Linked DNA regions of Coturnix japonica. The protein of the gene in region 1 interacts with the protein of each later gene in a pairwise test. Links are inferred from orthologs where the notes say so. Each region holds a gene or a part of one and is shown on either strand. Other genes may lie near its edges. The genes, in order: FAM102A and SKAP1.

The links.
Region 2: the proteins of FAM102A (region 1) and SKAP1 interact in binary tests that used the Homo sapiens proteins (3 or more experiments, as listed by UniProt). The two-hybrid records come from large-scale screens. The link is inferred for Coturnix japonica from reciprocal best matches to the Homo sapiens genes EEIG1 and SKAP1.

The regions. Positions count from the first base shown.
Region 1 is NC_029532.1:3,605,018-3,615,142, forward strand, and holds the end of FAM102A (protein FAM102A), read left to right. Parts: intron 1-1,924; coding exon 1,925-2,041; intron 2,042-2,457; coding exon 2,458-2,504; intron 2,505-5,397; coding exon 5,398-5,552; intron 5,553-6,594; coding exon 6,595-6,702; intron 6,703-6,955; coding exon 6,956-7,145; intron 7,146-7,327; coding exon 7,328-7,449; intron 7,450-7,948; coding exon 7,949-8,018; intron 8,019-8,865; coding exon 8,866-8,911; 3' UTR 8,912-9,353; downstream 9,354-10,125. UniProt on the Homo sapiens protein: Key component of TNFSF11/RANKL- and TNF-induced osteoclastogenesis pathways, thereby mediates bone resorption in pathological bone loss conditions.
Region 2 is NC_029542.1:3,278,577-3,288,801, forward strand, and holds the start of SKAP1 (src kinase-associated phosphoprotein 1), read left to right. Parts: upstream 1-5,419; 5' UTR 5,420-5,593; coding exon 5,594-5,627; intron 5,628-10,225. UniProt on the Homo sapiens protein: Positively regulates T-cell receptor signaling by enhancing the MAP kinase pathway. Required for optimal conjugation between T-cells and antigen-presenting cells by promoting the clustering of integrin ITGAL on the surface of T-cells.

The DNA.
Region 1 (10,125 bases):
AGCTAACAGGAAGGACTGATAAAGCGGAAACTCTTTCCCAAGCTGGAAGAAACACCATCAGCTGGCTGGAAAACTGAGGAAACTATTAGGAAAGGTTACTTCTGAAAACATCCTCTTGCTAAGGGATCCTTCCTCTATATACTGGGAGTCTGCTTCCTGAGAAGGGCATCTGACCTCAGCACACAGTGTGGATGTGGATCAATGGATCCACCACTTTGGTGTTGCTCTCTGTGATTCTCTTGACACTCTGTTAATGCCTTTGGTGGAGGAAAATGGGGATCTGGGTCTTGACCACTGCCGTGCTGTATTGTGCAGTGCAACCACACCAGAGGAACCTTTTCTGTCCTCCAGTTCTGATGTGCTGCAGCTCAGTGTGTAGCTTTCTCCTCTCCACTTCATCTCTTTAAGATTAGAAAGTCATTGGTGTTGGTTTTTCTGTATTGCTGAATATTTCATAAGAAACGTAGCCCTTGACAAGAAGGAGAAAAAGATATACAGCAATGACTGGAAAAACATTGGAGTTAAGGGAATCCTTAAGAAGGGGGTGAGGGCTTTTCTTTTTTTTCTCTTTTTTTGGAGAAGAAAAGTTCCTGTTCTGTCCCACCCCTATTTTTTTTTTCTTTGCCATCAGCTCTTGTTCCCTTTTCAGAGTGAGATGAAGGAAGCAGAGCAGGTATCTTAATCTCGTTGCTATCATGCCTTGAATCATACTTCTTGTACAGGCATGTGTAGGCTGCGGCTTTAACTTTTGATTTGGAACAATGGGAGCCAGAGGTCACACAACAGTGGCTATGGTTTGTGCTGTAACTCCCATCAGCTTCCACAGATGGGAGCGCCACATTTCCTTAGCACAGAGTTATATTTTGAGGCTAAGTTCAGTTGTATCATCCAGGTTGTCAACACTAGGACAGGAGAAATGTACTTAAAAACTCAGGTCTAGCTATTATTCTACACATTGCTTTTCCACCTCTTTCCTTGTTCTTGTGGCAGCTGATCTGTGTGCTGAAGTGGTGCAGACCTTCTGTGCTGAGACTGTTTGGCCAAATGTGGGTTACATCATCTCTTCTGGTTAGATTAGATGAGACACAACTGACTTGTGTTGAGTTTGTAGGAAGCTGTGACTTTTTCTTTTGGGAAAGTGCTGTAATTCCTACAGTAGAAGTTAAAGCAGATAAGCAAAGCTAATCTTCATTGTGTTTGTACTCTAGAGACATCAAATAACCTGTTAGAATTTACCTGTAATCTTCCTGTCACCTTTTGTATTTGTTTTCTGTTTGTTAAAGAACGTTTAGAGATCTCACAGTTAACTCTTCTCTTCTGACTGTCAAGTGAGCTACTTGCTAGTTCAATCTTAGATGTTGAGGAAGCTGTGGTGCAGGAGTTCCCCAGCCACATCTGTAGCTGTAAAGCTCATACATTGCTGCATGGCTCTTGAATTCCAGCTTGCTGTGCTGCAAGGCTGTTTTGTATTTCAGGACAGCATCAACTTTGCCTTATAACAATACCCTTTCATCTCCTTGTTCATATGCTCCACTGCATTCTGGGATGGCCCAATACAAAGAGTACCTTATTATGTTTGTGTATGTGTGATTATGTTTTTTCCACATTGTTGACCTAGTGCCATCCATGTCCTTTGTTATGCAATGGCTACAGGCTGGTTAACGCTGTCCTGGCCAGCATTACTGCTCTGTTTCCTTCCTTGCACAGAGCTGATGTTCCTCTGAGTCACCTGGCTGGGGATGGGGAGTGTTGTCCCTTCCATTCTCAGGTATAAGGGTCTCATCAGCCATGTCTCTGCGTGCACTGGCTTGTGTTTCTGCTCTAACTCACAGGGGTGCTGTCTTCCTTTAGTCTGTGCATCTCCTTTATTGAGTTATTTGATTGTTTTTAATTTTTTGTTCTCTTTCCCTTTTCTTGATGGCAGCTGGGCTTTGCTGATCTAAATCTGGCAGAATTTGCAGGCTCTGGATCGACTGTTCGTTGCTGCTTGCTGGAAGGATACGATACTAAGAACACACGACAGGACAACTCCATCCTAAAGGTACAGCAGCTGGCACTGACATAGTGGAACTCCTACTACTGAATGCCAAAAGATCACAACCAGAGCATATTGCTGGGCCTGTAAGAAGATCCTGTTATGTACGGAGATGGGGTTTTGCTTTTATGCAGGTTGTCTGACTCAGGAAGCTTGTCAGAGTCACCCTTTGATACACTGGCATCCATTTGGCCAAGGAGTGAGCCTCAGTAGTATTCTGCCTCCTGCTGAGCTACTGCAACCTGGAGATATTGATGCCAGCCCTTTGGGGAGGGAGGGAATACCTTGCTAAATTCCCAAAGCTGGTCTTCTCTTGAGAAGAAGTAGGTCTCACTAAGCTTTACGCCAAGCCCTTGGCCTCCTCCTGAAGCAAGGAGCTCTCAGTGGTGTGGATGATGACATGCTTTGTTCTCTCTCTCCAGGTCACGATTGGGATGTCTCTGCTCTCAGGGGACCCCTGCTTCAAAACGTGAGTTTCTGAGTACTGATGTTGCTTTTGGGAGACCAGGACACCATGTGCTTTTTCAGTTTTTCTGCTGGGAAACTAAAATTGCTGGGAAGAGGAAAAAGGTGTCCTTGAGATTAGGAAATACAGGGGAGAGCCTGGACTATTGAATCAGCTAGAATAGCACAACAAGACTACTCTTGGTTCATTTGTTCTCTGCTCTGCTTCCCCCACTATAAAAAGGAAGAATCTACTATGGGGTAGGGGAATCCTGGATTTCAAAGCTAGTGATAACATCTGTGAGTGTTGGGAGATGCAAGGGGTGACCTGCAAAAGGTGTGTGTATGTGTCAGTCAGTTTTCACTGCTGCTCTGTGAGATGTTATCAGTGAAGTGTTTTTCTCACATTGGCCTTTTAAACTCAAAAACTGAATTTCTGAGTCCTTTGGACTGGGGATTGCCTTGTTTAGGGCCTTTTCCCCTACAGGGAAAGAAACAGGCTTGGTTGCACGCAGTACCTTCTTTTTCTTAATGTTGGTTAAGTTTTGGAAACTAATGAGTTTTAACAAACTTGGTGCTGTGCGCGAAGGGTAGAATTTCTCATAGCTCTGGGGATGGTTTCAGTGACCTCTGAGAAGGGAAAGGTCAGTGAGGAAAATGGTCTTGGGAATGAACATATTTTAGCACATACCATGCAAGATAAGGATGTTGACTTGAAACAGCAGCAAAAATACTGCAAAGCTGAAACATCTTAGTTCCCTTGTTCTTCTACATGGACCTGCATTCATAATTTGTTTTGATTAGTAGAGAAACTGTTACCATCCTTTCTTTCTTTTAAGTCCATTGCGATAAGAAAGGATAAATACAGTGAAGCTGTGATGCAGTTCTTTGTTTTAACAATTGTTGCAGCATCATTTAACAGATAGAACACACTGTGTGCCTTCATACTGCAGTACAAGGTTGTGAGGCTCTGCAATCTGGGCCAGCCTGCAGTAGTGTGCTGTAAGGCATGTGGCTGCACACACAGGACTGCTGTGTGCTAATTTGATTGTTTAGTGTTGACTCCAGCAGTGTGAGAGAAGAAGGCTTTACCTTCAGCTCATCTCTCATAGCAGTAATGTTCTGGGCTATAACGTCTAATTTTAGGTGCTAGTTTGCAGTGCATGAATTAGTTTGCGTTGTTATGAAGTGCCACATACCTCTTGATGTAATTTTTACCTTGTTAATACCTTTTCACAGTGTAGCAGAGACACTTTCAAACCAGAAATAAAGTACCACCTGATTCTGGAAAAAAGAAATGGCTTCAGGAGGAAAACTGGAGCATCTTAAACCACGTTAAATAGTGGCAGATGCTTTAAGGCCAGGTTACCAGGGTTAGTTTCAATGATAAAATGAAGTAATGGCTAATAACATTTGACAAAAATACCTGCTGCTTTTCCACTGTGGAAGCAAACCCTCACCTCTTTGCCTGAATATTATGCAGAATGGAGTATAAACATCAATTTAATAGAAGTAAGGTCAGTTTGAAAGTCAAACCTCCTTATTTTCTTAAAGTTTTTTTGTAGTCATCCCATTTCTTTTCTTTATATGGTGATGATGTACAAATGTCTAAAAATGGAAGCTTTGCATGTAGGATAGTCCTTGATCAGGAGAGCTTTTGAGAAATGACACTCATTAGAGGATTAGGCAAGAATTAAACTGTGCTGGGAAATCACTCCTGAACGTGCTCGCTGAGCACTTGCTTTCTGCAGCAGAGACAGAGCTTCTCCTGGGTGTCATACAGAGGGGAGCATGGGCTGCTTGCCTGACCTGGCAGCTGCTGCAGGAACAGCTTGCTTGCTTAAGGCAGTAAGGGCCTTGTTAACCTGTGAAACAGAGTCCCTAAAGTACCTGACTGCATGTAAATCCCTGATAATGCAATTAGGGAGGAGGCTTTTGGTGGTTGTTTGTTTTCTGTTTGTCTATTGTTTTTTCTGTTTGTTTTCCCCTGGGGAAGGCATGCTGTGGGTTTCCTGAAACCTTTGTATCTCTCTGGCTGCCATAAGAAATGTCTTTTCTCCCAAAACACTGGAAAGTTCCTCTCATGTAGCATCAACCCTCATTGGCCTCAAAGTTCCAAGTGAAACAAATAAAAGTTTTCCTTTCTCTCTCCTCGCTTGAAAAGCATACTATAATCCATTGGTTGCAGTTCAGACTTCAGGCTATAAGGAAGTGAGGGCTCCAACAGGAATATTAACCTTGCCATGCTGCACATGCCATGGCTTCTACCCAAAAACACTTCTGGAGGAAGGGAGGGGGGCTCCAGGCAATTGCAGTTCTATCCAAGAGCCAGCATTTACAAAGGGATGTTGCAAGCACACAGAATAACCAGAAAAATAATTTTGACAGCTGTAAAAATACTTTAGTCTCGTTGAAAATAAGTTTAATCATCAAATAAAAATGGAGAGGTTATTTAAGCATTGTAAAAGAGGGACAGGGGATAAAAGGCTTCTTTCTGGCCTGAGCCTGAAAGATGTAACAGAAGGGTGCTGGAATTTAGGGCTGGACAAAAGCAAACTGGTTCCTGTTTGTGAGGCTGACTGGCTGCTGGAACATGTGCTGGGGGAAAAGGGCAGCTCTGGATAGTTTCCTGGAGGATAGTGAGGTTGTCCTGTATAAATGATGGAGTGCTCAGTTTTTTGCCTTAATTTACATCAAAAACTTGCTTTTCCTTGTATTCAGCAGTTTGTAAAATGCTGCATCTGCAGTCCAGATGCATTATGAGATGGGGAAGACCTAAATATTGTATATAGCAAGGGGGTGGAGTGGGGGAGAGGGGAGGAAGCAGCAAATGTTACACTGTGCTGCTGGTCAGAGAGGCTGCCAGATGATCCCCAGTCCCTGCCTCACTGTTTGTAACACTTCTCTTGTGATTGCAGGCCGCCTTCCACCGCCAAATCCATTACTATACCAGGGCAGGATTCTACCCTGCAACTTACCTGCAAGGGTGAAGGAACCACAAGCAGCAACAGCAGTTCAGCCACAATTGGTTCTCTGCGTCAGACCAAGCCAAGAGCAACCATTCTCAGCTCGGGTAAGAGCGCCCATCCTGGAGCCATGCAATGCTTAGATGTACTTGGGTGCTTTCTCTTCTTTTTCTCAGCAATTGCAAACAGAGAAGTTCTTTAATATTTCATGATTTCTCAAACCCATTTTCATTGCTCTCAACTCATTTAGGAAAAACAAAACTCTCCATGCCTCTATAGGTGGAGATAAAGCAATCTTTTTTCCTGAGGATTTAATAATTAATGTATTGCGTTCATCTCTGCCTTCCATTGTGTTCAGTGACACTTAGCTTTGTTCTCCACTCAGCTATTCTTCTAGAAAAGCTTTGGTGGTTTTAGAGGTTGGTTTGAGATCTAATGGCCTTGATCCAGCTGCTGATGCAGAGTTCTTTGGCTTCTGTGTGAGCCCATTTTCAAGGACACTGCGTTTTCCTATTGCCTTTTTTCTTCCCAGCGTACTCTAAAATGTGCAGGCAGACACTGCACCAAAATAGAGCTCTGGTCACATAACCTCAGTGACAGCAAAGTGCACAGGTGATGATCTGGAAAAGCTTGCCAGCATGTTACGCTTGCATACTTTCAGATAAACTTGTTGCATGTGAGGCAAACTGGGGCAAGGGTAAAGAAACAGAGATTATCCTGAAGTTCCTGTATCAAGTTCATATCAAAGATATTATTTAAATGGTGTGGGCTCACAAATAATAGCAGGACAAAAGCCATGACAGGAGAAGTACCCAAACAGAAATTGTAATATTTTACTGATGGTGGCCATTTGATGCTTTCAGGCTGTTAGCTATCTGTAGTTAAAATCATTAACTTCTGGACATTGTCCTTCTAGGTCCTTCAAGGCCAAGGTTAATTCAGGTACTGGGTGCTAGAATTAATGATGAACTTAACAGAGGAAATTGTTGTCATTATCCCTAGTTCCAAAGTGCACGTAAGCTCTTTGCTACAGCAGGCTTCTACCTGCTTTCACTTTCCTTAATCTAGTGTCCCAGGATCAGCATCTAGTCTAAGGCAGCAGGCAGTACTGATGTGGTTGTGGTGTAACTGGAATGCCTTGTTTCTCAGCAGGTGTCCCTGAAGAACCAGATCAGAATCTGTCCAGCCCAGAGGAAGTCTTCCACTCAGGGCACTCACGGAACTCCAGCTATGCCAGCCAGCAGTCCAAGATCTCTGGTAACTATTGATCCACATGGTTGTGCCATCATTGGCTCCATCCTTTGCTGCAGCAAGCTCTCATGAGAGTGACTTGCAGCCTTATCTCTTACCCAGCAGTGTAATATCAGAGCTTCTTGGTCAGTCTCTGCAGATAAGTTCATAGATTTATGTATAAACCTCAGTATACAAGAGCAGAAGCTGTGCTGCGTGTTAACTCTGTCTTCAGGAAAGAGGGAAGGTGTGACTTGTAACTATGCTGCTGTATTTGCAGGTTACAGCACGGAGCATTCCCGTTCTTCTAGTATGTCTGACCTGACCCATCGCCGGAATACCTCCACCAGCAGTAGTGCATCCGGAGGGCTGAGCATGACGGTGGAATGCCCTGAGGGAGAGCGGGACCACAAACTAGAGAAGCCACCTCGCCCCCCCAGACCAGCTCTTCTGCTGGACAGACCTTCCCGGTAGGTAACTGTGGTGCAAAGCCCCCTCTTTGGGAAGCTGAGATGGAATTTATTCTCTGGTCTTTAACCAGCAGTAGGTTGGAATTAGCTGCTGAGAGAAGTACTGTTCCTAAAAGAAGTGAGAGAATTTAGAAGTCCATCAGTAAAGGCTGATTTTTTTTCCCTTGATTTTTTTTCCCCAGGAGAAAAAAGGATTCAGTGGAGAGTCACCCAACCCGTGTGGATGACACCAGGATTGATGCAGATGATATAGTGGAGAAAATAATGCAGAGTCAGGACTTCACAGATGTCAGCAATACTGAAGGTGAGAGCATGAGTCTCAAGAGGGGAAGTCTTGGCTGTTTCCTTAGCAAAGCTGCCAACCTTGTACAAAGCCAGATTTGGTCTGCTACAGACTCCCCCCTTTGACAGTAATTTTCTTTCAGTGGTTGCTAGGTGTTTCTATGGTAGTAAACCGTGGATTTGAGAGCTGTGCATCAATTTGCGAACAGTGCCTGCCACTGTTCTTCTACAGACCACAGCAGAGGTAAAAGAGTAGCTTAAACATAAGGGTGAGAGAGGAAAAACAAGTGTTTCTTCATAGCTTAGTGTTGTGCTTGATTTGTATATGAGACTCCCTTTTAAAGCAGGAGAGCTCTTAGGGGTCCAATTGCTATGGGAACACCATACAGTGTGCGTATGGATTCACAGAAATGCACTTGTTCCTCTGCTGAACATTCTGTAATGCAGCTGGGAGAGGAGAACTTGGCAATCACCAGAAGGAGTTCTGTACTTTAATGTCCTACTTCCTTTTCTATCTGCAGACAGTAACCTGCGGTTGTTTGTGAGCAGAGATGGAACAACTACACTGAGTGGTATTCAGCTGGGAAACAGGTAGGTTTCCTATAAGGACTGCAGACAGTCAGACTCCAGAGAGGTTACTTAGCTCTGGGTACACAGGGAACTTTCACCTTTGCAACAGAAGAGATTTCTAAACATCATGTGCTACGTGGTGGCTTTATGCCCACATTCACACCCCTGGGATCTCTCTGGTGACAGTCAGCAGTTGCCCTGGAGTGTGAATGCAGTTCACAGTGGAAGCTCGGAGAGATAATTTGATCCTAGTTTTTGGATCCAAGAACAGAAATAAGTGAGGAGTAAAAGGACACGGTGGTAAAGGTTGGTTCCTGTTTGGTCCTGCACTCACAGGGAGCTTTGCCTCCTGCTGGACTGCAGCAGAACTGCAACTCCCTTTTCCCTGCCCTCCATCTGTGTTGTGGATAAAGATTTCTGGAGAATAAAACTTTGTCTTGCCACAATAGCCCTCACTACAGTGTATTGACTAGTTGTGGGGAGGGAGGGGGGGGAGTTAAGTTTTAGCACCTTTAGTAGTATGAAAAACAATAATGGCAAACACAAAGATATGTCAAGTTGGTGGCAAAATTGGGAACAGAGTCAGGAATGCTTGTTCTTAGCACAGTGTGCTCCACCCAAGCCCTTTCCCTCTGTTCTCTAAAAGAATTTGTGCTTCACCCAACTCTGTCAGGCTGTAGTGTTAGTTTGCTATGTAGCTGTCTGTTTTGTGTTGTGTGGGTTGACTGCTCACCAGATCAACGAGTTACTGTCAGTATTTTCTGTGAGGTTAGAGGGATCATGCATGGAAAGCTCTGAATACAAACTAATTTGTTTTAAGTAATAGAAAAATAACCTGGCTTTCTCATCTTCTCCTCTGCGTCCTCAGGGTCTCATCTGGAGTTTACGAGCCAGTGGTGATTGAAACCCATTAAATGTGAAGAACAGGGTAGAGCTGCTGGAAACGGGCCCCCTACCCAGTCTGCTGCCACATGGATGCCAACCTTTACCTCTCTTCATGCAGCATTCCAGAAGGGATTTCTCCATGCCCCTCCCCATATGTTTGCACTGCAGAACTACTCCGAGACCACTCCAGATCATGCACTTTCCCTGTGTTGGCAGTACCCTCCTTCACTTCCCAGTTTTTCCAGTGCCTGCCCTCCCCGTTTGCAAACAGACACAAAGTGTCTGCTGGACTTATCCTTAGTCCTAGAGCATGTTGCTCTTCTGCATCCCTCACTGCACCCATCCCTTTGCAAAGGGGGATATCTCAGCTTGTCTCCCCAAAACATTGGGTTGTGCCACTGTGAACTCTTCAAACCACTTGGGGGGGAACCATTCTAACCAAACCAAGAGCTGCTTGTTGGTGACACGGTGAAACGGTTACTTGCAGGATGCTTTATTCCATTGACTGCAAGGGAACATCACCTTCTAAGGCAACAGTTTTATTGAGCAAGGTATGCAGTGGTGTACACTTCCCCTTCTTACACTTAAAACCCCAAAAATCTTTTTTCTCATAGGAAATATCTCCCAAAAGTGCATTTCAGAAAATTACCACAATCCAGATGGGAGTTGATAAATGGTTAAATGCTAGTGCTTGTTATACCACTAACTGTATTACACCCTTCCACTGCTGGGCATGGAAGGGTAGTGTTCAGCTATTAGCATTAGCAGGAGCACTTTAGAGGTTCCGGATTTTACCTGGAGGAGCCTTGTCTCTGTTCTTCCAGGAGAATAATCTGTGTTTGCTGGGTTGATTCAGCAAATAGTCACTGTTGAATCTTGGGGTACAATGCCTCCTTTTTGGCTTAGGAAGGGAATTGCTCTTCTTGGACTGTGAAAAGATTATCTCATGGCCATCCCTTGGGCCAGAGCGGGATGCAGTTGTCTGCAGTGGTCTCTTTGGTTTGGTGGTTAACAATTGCCTCTCCTGGCTTGGGCTGGTAAGGTAATTGGTGCTGGTTGTCCTTTCTTGACTTGTCAGTAAGAATCTATGCCTGAGCTGATTCTTTCTGGGACTGGGGAAAAGCTCTGCTTGTAGGGCAAGATAAACCCGCTACCTTCACCTTCAAAGGTAGATTGGATATTTTCTGCTGTTCTCTCTACAGCAGCAGTTCTTACCCACTCTGTGGAGAGTCAACTTTTCTGA
Region 2 (10,225 bases), on another chromosome or scaffold:
CTCTAGGCTGTCTCCCAAGACTCCTAAGGACATCCATAGGATCCATAGGGCCTGGAAGGCACAAATCAAAGCATCCACCGAGCAGAACCACCTCCGTCCCCAGGCAAAACAGCACAAGTGAATGTTTTTGCCATAAGTCAAACGAGTTTGATTTGTAAATTTCCACCCAAATAGTCGTTTTCTTCGAGAGATTATTTCTGCACCAAACCTATTGCTGCGCTGTTTGCACTACGAGCTTCCATTCCCCAGGCGCCTGGCTCTCATTTTACCTCACCAAGATTTATAGGAACTTCTCCCATACCACTGATTTCTTCATAAGAGAAAAGATCACTTCAGGGACCTACCTCTGTCTCCAGCTACACTGTTTAACACCTCTAAATATTCCTATTTATGAACTAACATCTGGGTCAGTCTACATAGCGTAGTTTGAAAGCCATTAAGACAGATGCCTGCATTTCATTAAGCAAGATTTGATAAGGTGGGTAGGGTTACAGGGCAAGATTACTGTGGGAATTCAGTGAGTTTAAGCCTTCACTCCAGTTAATAAAATCAAACAATACATCATAAAAGTGTCTGGAAATTGGCTCAATAATTGAAATAGAACTGTGTGATGGATGGAGATTTATGGATGCTAATGCAGAAGCGCGACTACATTCGAACATCATATCTAAGCCTATTTTCAAGCCAGAGCCTCAACTCCAAGTCTGCCTTTTGTGCTGCTTTAAGGCAAAAGATTCTATTCTTTTTTCTTTCCAGAATGAAGGAAAACTCACAGAACAGATGGACCAGTTTAAATCTGAAGCCTCACAGTACATTCCAAGACAGTGGGATATAATGGTGAGGCTGATGCTTACACAGATATTTCTGAACTGGCTTCTCTGAGCTGGAAATGCTCACGGAACTCTAATGTTACAACCCCTATGTCCACCTGGACCCTTCTCCAGGACAGATCTCTCGTTCCTCAACCCACTGCTTGTCAGGTAATGTGGGTTTTTGTCCTAAATCTTTGCTTTCTCTCTGGAGCAGACAGGGAACTCCCCCTCCTCTGTAGTATTTGATGCCCTCCCTTAACTCCATCCCTCTCCCTCAGCCCTGCTGGCAACCCTTGGTGTTGGCTGCTTGTAGGAAGCGTCCCCTCTGCAGCCTTAATGAAGTGTGTGGCAGTCCTCCTCATTAAGACTTGGTGTTGTCAATAAAAGAGTCATTAAAGTAGTTTGATGAGGGTTGGGAGAAAGAGAAAAGGTGCTGCAACACATCTACAGGGCAGAGGGCAGCTCCATCACACATTGTAACCAAACAGCAAGGGATCAATATCACCTTTGCATTAAACTGAAACCCATCCGTCAGCCTGAGGAGCAGCAGCCTCCCCGAGAGCTCAGCTCAGTGCTCTTCTCTCCCTTCCTATCTTTCCCATCCTCTCATTTACAGACCGTCCTTTTCCTGATGCTCATGAGCTGTTCCAGGAGGCCACAAAAGGCCACTTGGGATTTAAGCAGTGTAACCCATTCTCCACATCTGGCTGTAGCATCACAACACAGATGCTGGGAGATGCCTCCTCTCTTAGACCACCTGCAACCTTCATGGACACACCCAGGAAAGGAGCCCCAGCACATCCTTACCATGTGCCATCTCCACCACAGAAGCACAGGAGAATCACATCAATGGGGTCCTACTGGAATGCCCTGCTGTTACCAGAAACAATTACACTCTATACATTGTAATATATACACCTCAACACATCTGCTTGCTTCCAAGGAGCCTTCACGACAGAGAAAATGCAGCATGTCTGGGAGGTAAGTGAATCCAGAATCTGGCAGTCTATGCCAGCAGCAAGGTCTGCTAATTTAGATTTGCACTGGAATCAAATCTGTTTGCCATAAGTCAGAGCTGCAGCTGCCGACACATTTTTGTTTCTCATTGGCTTCAGGAACTGATGAACGGTCACCTGGTGAAGCAGAGGTGCAGGGCCAAATAGTGCGGACATGGGAAGACCACTTAGCCTTAAAAAAGGGGAAAGATGATTTATGAGGGTTGTAACCAACCTTTAACTGAATGACTTGGTCGCATGAGAAGGAAGATACATGAGCTGTTGGGCAATGGAACCGACGTAAGCATGTAAACTCTGGGATTACAGCAGAGCATTAGCATGGCACAGCTGATTAGTAAACCAGGAGAAATTATTCAAGCAGTCAGGTGCAAGACCAGATTGGAAAGAGGCCTTTTTTTCTTTACTGAGTTGTTGGTCACTGTCAGAGGCAGCAAATGACACCCAGTGGTCCAACAATTTGACCTGGAATGGCAGGAGCTGTGATACAGAAATAGATGGACTGGCATCTGTTCTGAAAGAGCAAGAATGAAAGTCTGCTCTGAACTGGCAGGAGCCACAACACCGGAAAGGGAGGACAAAAGGGCAAGTGAGTGTATTACCAAAGAGAGCAAGAAGGATGAATAAAGAGGCTGGAAATGTATCTCCAGTGCTGCAGTGCCAGACTAGGTGAACAAATGACCTGATCCCGTTTAATGAAGCCTGTGATCCTCCACCCCCCCCTCTGCAGAACGGGCGTCCCAGGGTCAGCGTGTGCCTGCGTGAGCATGCACACATCCTTATCTAATTACTAAAAGTTTCAGATTAATTTCGGCGCAGCTGCTTGAAAGGGCTGTTATCAGGCGAGGCTTTGCGGTTTAACCTTGTTACCCTTTTGTCGTTAACCTTTCTGAATGGCAGAGGGGAAGGCTTGAGAGATCGTGATGTGCTGGAAGAGCAGGAAAAGGGGGCAGATGGGAAGCGAGGAGCCTGCATCCCCAGGCTGTGTGCATCTAGCTCCTCTCCTGGCTGTATGACACACCAGCTGGCTGCTCACCTGCATTGACAGGCACTGCACCCAGCCACACCGAGCAGCCCATTGCAGGGACACAGCTCCTGCCAGCCCCTCCAGATCCTTGGATATTTCCCACTCTCCCTTTTTACCTTGCATTGCTCAGCTCTTCGCAGGCTGCCCTGCTTTGTTTCCATAGCTACACGCAACCACATCTGGCTTCTTCCTGAGAAATTGGATTTCAAAGCAAGACGGAGCCTTCAAAGGAATTTGTCCATTTAAAAGAACAGCATTAGGGGAGAGTCCGACTGCTCAACTCCAGGATTAAAATGATGAAGGTGGGGCTTTTATCATGAGGCAGCTTTACACCTACAGCCCACAAAGTGTGATGCTACAGAGCAGTGATGCAGGGGTAGCTGCCAGCCGCTGCCAGACCCCCTCATCTCCTTCCCAGCTGACCACTGAACTAAGTGTGTTGCCTATTCATGCTTTCAAAAACAAAAGTGGCAAGGAAAAGGTCATTTGCTGGGGACTCAGCCTGCCTGGCTCTGTCTGCAGAGGGGTGAGGTTGAACAGAAGGGTTGGCTTTGCTCGTGCATGGTGTGAAGGCTGTGTGAGCACATACATCTGCACGGCAGCTGAGACTCTATGGCAAAATGGATTCCATTTTAGCAACATCTGCTGCATGGTCAGTATTGTCTTAATATCTTCAGATAGGGCCTGAGGGGGACATCCAAGGTGCTGATCTCTGCCTCCAGGCTGTGGGATGGATGTACAATCCAAGACCAGCCAGCACACCTCCACACATTACACTACACTCAAAGCTACTACGATAACCTCAAGATCTGCAGCAAAAGACCAGAAATCACAATGTGTTTCAGCAGCCCAGATCTAAAGCTAAACCAACGAGGTAAACACTGCAACAGGAAACGTGTTGGGTGAAATCCCCACACATGCAGCGAGCACAAACCAGGCAGCAAAGGAAGGTGAAGCCCCACCAACAACACCTGCAAATCAACTCGCTGCTCGTTTGACATGAAGCAAAACTTCCCCCATCCCCTAAATATGATAAAGTGGTTTGTCTCTTGGGCAAGGCTCACTGACTGGCTTCTAATTCACTCTTTGCACCACGCTTTCAGAGCTACAGATATGCAGAAAACCCATGAGATGATCCTTCTCTTTGCAGTTGTAAGAGTGTTTTTCCTTCTGAGATTTGCATTGATCAGGTTTCATTGATCTCTCTGGCACGTCTGAAGGCAGTTTCTTCCATCTACATGACCCAGTTCATCCCTTTATAAACTCGGCTTTTAATGTTAGGCACTCTCAGCAAGCAGCTGCTTTTTATTTGCAGTCTGTAATGAACTGAGGAGGATTTCTATGGAGAAGCATTTAAATATTTATCCCTAAACACCTCCAGGTGAGAACAAGCATACAGATCCATCTACTGTACACCCACCTGCATGCATTACCATTCCTTGCATACAATAACAGCAGCTCCCATCTGCCAGGAGCCGTGGGCAGCTCACAGAAGTTCCCATTTTGCTCCCATAGGAGACTCACTTTTCCCAATCCTGCTTCATGAAACCCTACCTGACTAGCAGATGTAATGGCAAAGACTCCTGTCTGTGACGGAGATGCATTCCAGCAAGTCAGTCTGCTGTGCAAGGCCTTCTGAATGGCAGCAATGATTTCCATGCTGCATCCAGTGCTGCTGCAAAGCAATTCCTCACACAGCATCCCAAAAGCAAGAACGTGCTGCAAAACTACTGGCAGAGTGTGCAAACTCACATAGTAACATGCAAAGTAAAAGGGAAAGGATGGAAATCAAGTGAATTTTAGATTCAGAATAGGAAACTTGTGTGCTCCAAAGGCACCAAACATGCATTTAGACACAGTGCCTTCATCAGAGCCCTCCATTCTCACTGCTTTTACATATAGAGTTGCTGTCCCAACCTAAAATAACTCTGCAGTCATTAGAGGTGTTTTCTTTCAGATTAAGGAGGCTGGGTTCAAAATTTGGGAATACAAGGATGGAAAATATTAGCAGTATATCCCCATGGCCAGCCTGCATTAATTCATTTGTATAGCAGAGGAGCGGATGTGGGACTGTAGGTTAATCTAATGCAATGCCACTTTTGTTTTGTAGAGTGCAGTTTGCACTTATTGACTGTCAAAGGCAAGTTAAAGTGCACAACCCTCCTATTTCTCCGGGCAAGATAGAAATATGAGCAGCTATTACGCTCTATCCCCTTCCTATACAGGATGTAGGAAGTGGGGATGTTTAATTGCAGAGCAGCCAAGAGCTGCTTCTCTTCCTAAGCATTAGGGGATGGGGGTTTGGTTCTGTTTGGAACAGACCCAACCCATCTCCTGTTGTGCTGGGGGTCGGCACAGGGGGGGGTTAAAGCAATAGCCATACAGCTCCGGGTCTGCTGTACCAGCAGGTGCGCTGAATTGTGCGCTAATGAAGGAGATGCTCGCCTAACTGCCACCTGATTAAAATGCTAATGCAGGGAGTTCGCTATCAGCTGTGTTGTTGCTGGGGGAAGGGGGGGGGAGGGTTGGGCTTTTTGTAGTTAGTTGGGCAGAGCTCAGCACCTTGATTGCCTCTTGTGAGGCTGAAAGAGGAGGAGGAGGCATCGTTTGAGCAGAGCTCTGCAGTTCCTTCCACTTTCTTCGGGGTGTCCCCACCCCCTCTGCTTCCTTTCCTCGTTCTGTCCCTGCAGCTGAGGGACCAGAGCATCAGGTTTGACTGGTGGAAAGGAGGTGGCAGGGCCATGATCCCAGAGGACATTCAGAGACTCCTTGCAGGTAACCCCCAATTCCTCCTTGCTGCTCTCCTGTTTAGCAGGAAAGGCTTGCAGTTATTGCAGGGGAAGAGTCTGAAAGGCCTTTAGCATCTCATTGAGCTGATCCAGGGAGGGGAATGGGAGGTCTATAAGAGTTACTTTTCTTCTATAGCTGATGGGTGGCTTTGTGGTCCTCATGTTGTATGTGTGGCTTATGCATCCCTAATCCTGATGAGAGAAGCATAGGGGACGTGGCTGCTTGTCCCAGTGCTCTCAGTATTATGTGTGAGTGCCAGGAGTTGGTAGGTGGGTCTGTGCCTCTATTAGGAGAGGGGCAACTCTTTAGTGGTCTCGGGGGCTGTGCTTGTAGAGGAAGAGAGAGTATATAAAGTTAAGGGGTGTTTTCTCCCTACCACGTGCTTTCAATTAAAACATTGTGTGGGCTGTGCTGGCACCCAGCATCACTGGGTGAGCCAAAGGGCAGGCACACAGGGTAGAATAAACTTGTGTGTTGCAATGAGACCCCCCCCTTCCCCTGGCTTTTGCTACAGCTGTGGTAGTGCAAGTAACTGCTGTTTCTTTAGTGTCATCCTTTGGGGTGTATTTATGCAAACAGGGGAACCTATACTCAGGGTTTGTGGGTTTTTTTTTCTCTCCAGTATTGCCTTGCCTTCTGCAGTCACCTCTACTCACATGCTGGCTTCCCCCTACCCTGCTGACTCTCATTGACCTTCCTATATATAAAGCCTGAGCAGCAGCACTGCAGGCTGCAGCCTTAGCCCATTGCTGCATGTTGCTGGCACATCCTGCTGCTGTAGGTGCAGGCAGGTGGTGAGAAGGAGCTGTTTGCATTCTGCTGCTTGATGCTCTGAGCTGTTGTTTGAGCCTGACCTGCTCTGCCTCGAGGTTTCATGACCTTTGGTTTCCTGTTGCTCATCTCCTGACAGCACCAGCCCCAGTCATATCACAGAACAGCCTGGGTTGCAAAGGCCCATAATGTTCATCCAGTTCCAACCCCCTGCTGTGTGCAGGGTCACCAACCAGCAGCCCAGGCTGCCCAGAGCCACATCCAGCCTGGCCTTGAATGCCTGCAGGGATGGGGCATCCACAGCCTCCTTGGGCAACCTGATCCAGTGCATCAACACCCTCTGGGTGAAAAACTTACTCCTAATATCCAACCTAAACCTCCCCTGTCTCAGTTTAAAACCATTTCCCATTATCCTATTGTTATCCATCCTCATAAACAGTTGTTCCCACTCCTGTCTATATGCTTCCTTCAAGTATTGCAAGGCCACAATGAGGTCTCCCTGAAGTCACCCCAACACTGAGTTCCTTCCAGTCCTGGTTCCAACACCCAGAGCACACACTGAGCCTCCCAGCCCATCAAAGCTCCCTCCCAAATGCATTGTGTCTTCTCCCAGATGTAGGTGTGAATTCTCCCCTCTGCTTTTTAATCGCGGAGGCTTTGGTGGAGTTCACCCTTTCCCATTTTTGATGTGCAGCTCTTTATTGTTTGCTGCTGACGCTTCTGTAAACAACTCATTTCTGCACCTGCCACCTTCCTTTAACTTAGATTATTTTCTTGTTAGCTGACTGTTTTTAATTGAAGGCTTCAGATCTCCTTCTAAAGCACAGCCTTTGTTTGCTGACAAGTAGAGCAGGCTATGAATGGAGATTAATTGCATGTCACATACCTCTGTATCAAACTTGCTGTGTCTTAACAATCTATACAGACTCGAGGCCTTCCAGGGGCTGAGGAGGTTTCTTGCTATGCAGGAATCAGAGGAGCTTAAGCTCATCAGGTTTTCAAACTGTGTTATAATAAGAATTCTTGTATTTAATTAAAGCGTTACAACTCAAAGAGCCAACGTGTATTGGTGTATGGGCCATAATGTCTGCTTCCCTACATTAAGCTTTGTTCCATAGTGCAGGGCTGTATGCAAGGTGCCCAAAGGGCCAGTAGCCAACTGCTAGCTTCCATCAGCCTCACTGTTATCACAGAAGACATCTCTGAGGTTGCAGTGGTTGAAAGCTGATATATCATGGCTATCTTCTCTACGCTGTGATGCTGCAGTGCTTCTGAATGCTGATAGCCTTATATTTATGAATAGATGTGGTTGGGACAGTTATATTACTCTGATCACATCACAAATAAGCAGCCCAAGTTGTCGTTACTTGCATGGGGTTTCAGTTTTGGTTCAGTCCAAGAGGCTGTTTTGCAGTTTTCCTCTAAAGGCTGAAACAGTGGTTCTTAATGTGACTTGAGTTGGTTTTCTGTTGGCAGATGGGTAGAAAAGAACAACAAGTGTTGGTTGGGGTGTGGGCACAGGAGAGATGCACACAGCCTCTAAATACCTTTCAGCTCTGCTCTCTGAGTGATGATTAACTCAGAGATTTAGTGCTGCCATTAAAAGGTTATTTACTCACCAGACTGGGGTGGCTGTGACATAACTCTTACAATGCTGTGCTCTGCGTGTGGGATTAAAGTGGATGACTGCAATTGCCTCTAGAAACCCTCCTGAAGCACTTGATGAAATCTCAACTGTTTTCCTTTTTATTCCTTCCCCCCCTCTCTTACCTTTGGTAGCTGCAGGAAATGAAAGGGAGAGTCCTGTAAACTTTCGGAGTGGATCACAGAGAGCAATCTATAAACATCAAGAATATAACGTTACTGACAAGCAGTAAAACTAACATTGGGGTGATTTACTCCGGAGCTGCTTACATATTGCTCTTCCTGATCCACTTGGAGAGTTTATGGTCAGGCTTTCTTTTTCATTTCCTGGTGCTATAAACATTGTGGCTGGCTCTGAAAAGGGCTCTGCCTGCTTTGCAGGAGGGACCACAGTTCTGTTATAACTTATCCAGCAGCTGATCTGTGCTGACATGGCAGCAAGTAAATACCATATTGCAGCTGATGGCATGCTCACGGAGCTGATCTGTGCTTAAAAAGGGCACAAGAGCAGCTGATGTTGGCCCAGTTTGTGGTTCTTGTTTGTTCTCATTGCAGCCTGCAAGGGTTTCTCTCGCTGGCTGATCTCTACAGTGTTGTCTTAAAGCTGATTTGTACATAATAAACTGTCCCTTCAGCCTCCATCTCTTCTTACATTAAGTTTCTCAGGGCAAGGTTATGTTCTTGGTGCCTAGATATGTGTATGTGGTTCTTACTTATGTTATTTGTAAGCAGTGCAAGTCCAGCACTGTTTTGTTTGTCCTAAGTCAGTGCTGTATCTTGGAGGGGGAATTAAAACAGTGTAGAGATGTGCTGAAAATGAAACTTAACCAAAGCAAAAGATCCAGCAGAGCCTCAGTGGGATACCAGGCAGGGTGAGGGTGTTCTCTCCTCCTTCTTCAGGCTGCATCTCTCTGCTCCTCTTCATCACTGTAAAGACAAAGTGGGAAGGGATTCCTGTTTGTGGGGGTGCACATCTGCCCCGCTTCCTGAGCACACAGCTTGCTCTGTCCTTGCTTCTGTCCTTTGCTTCAGAAAGATGCGTTTCTCTATTTCCCCTCCAGCTCTCAGCCTTTCTTATGTTTGCCATAAATAGGTGATGAAAATAAGAGCTCGTGACTTTAGCAGGGGGAGTTATTCATTTCTCCTGTGGCACTTTGATCTTCTGTGCTCGCAGGTAGAGGAACTGTTTTGTTAAGGAGCTATAAAGGTTCCTGGGGCATGCTGAGCAGTGCTGGCTGCTGTACCGGCAGCTGAAGCATAAGGAGCTGCAAGTCTTGCAAGCAGGATATTAAACTGACATTAGTGTCACAGTATGGGGCGTGAATTAAAGGTTGGAGAGGGCTGTGGGTGTACAGCATCACAGCTTTGAAGCCAAGCTTTGCTAGAGGAAAGCAGCAGTAAAGCTGCCGGAGGACAGGGATGATGATGCTTTCATTTACAGAGCAGGTGTGGTTGGAAATGTTCTGTTTTTCTAAGAGGCTTCTGTTAGGAGTATAAATATTCATCCAAATAGAAGGCACTTAATCTACCTGTAGTCTCTTTGTCTTTCAGTTCAGGTTAGATTTCTACACCTAGCTGTGCTTTTCAAGTGAGAGAGTATCACATTTACTTCTGCCAAGCTGTCCTGTTGGGCAAGCACAATGTATCTGAGCATTAGCAGAGAACGTGGTGTGATATATCTGTATGTGGGTGAGTGCACAACCAACCTAGTGTTCAATGCCTGCTCCTTAGGAGGGTTATTTCAGTGAAAACCACAAGCTGGGATTTCATTTAAGTGATGGGTGTAAGGTGTCCGCTGTATTAGAAGTGTTTTGGCTACTTCTGTGAATGGCAGCCTTTCATAGCAGTGGATTTTTAGGGTTTGGGGATGTAGGGAGGTATATAGGAGGTGTTGGGTGCTGCACACAACAGAGTAAGGCAGTGGTTAATGAGAGAAGTAAATGCATGTGGTGGAAGAGTGATGTTCATGCAAGGCATCTGACCTGAGCTAACTCTAATTGCTGGGTGTCAGTGGGGGACAGACCCACTGGAAGCTGTGAATCCTGGTGTCTCATGGTGGGCTGACAGTCTGTCTTCCTCATATCTGCACTAGGGCTTTCTGATCCTTGAGATGCTGATGCTGTTCTCATCCAAGGATGGGTAGCATTAGCTTCCCATTAGCTTTAACT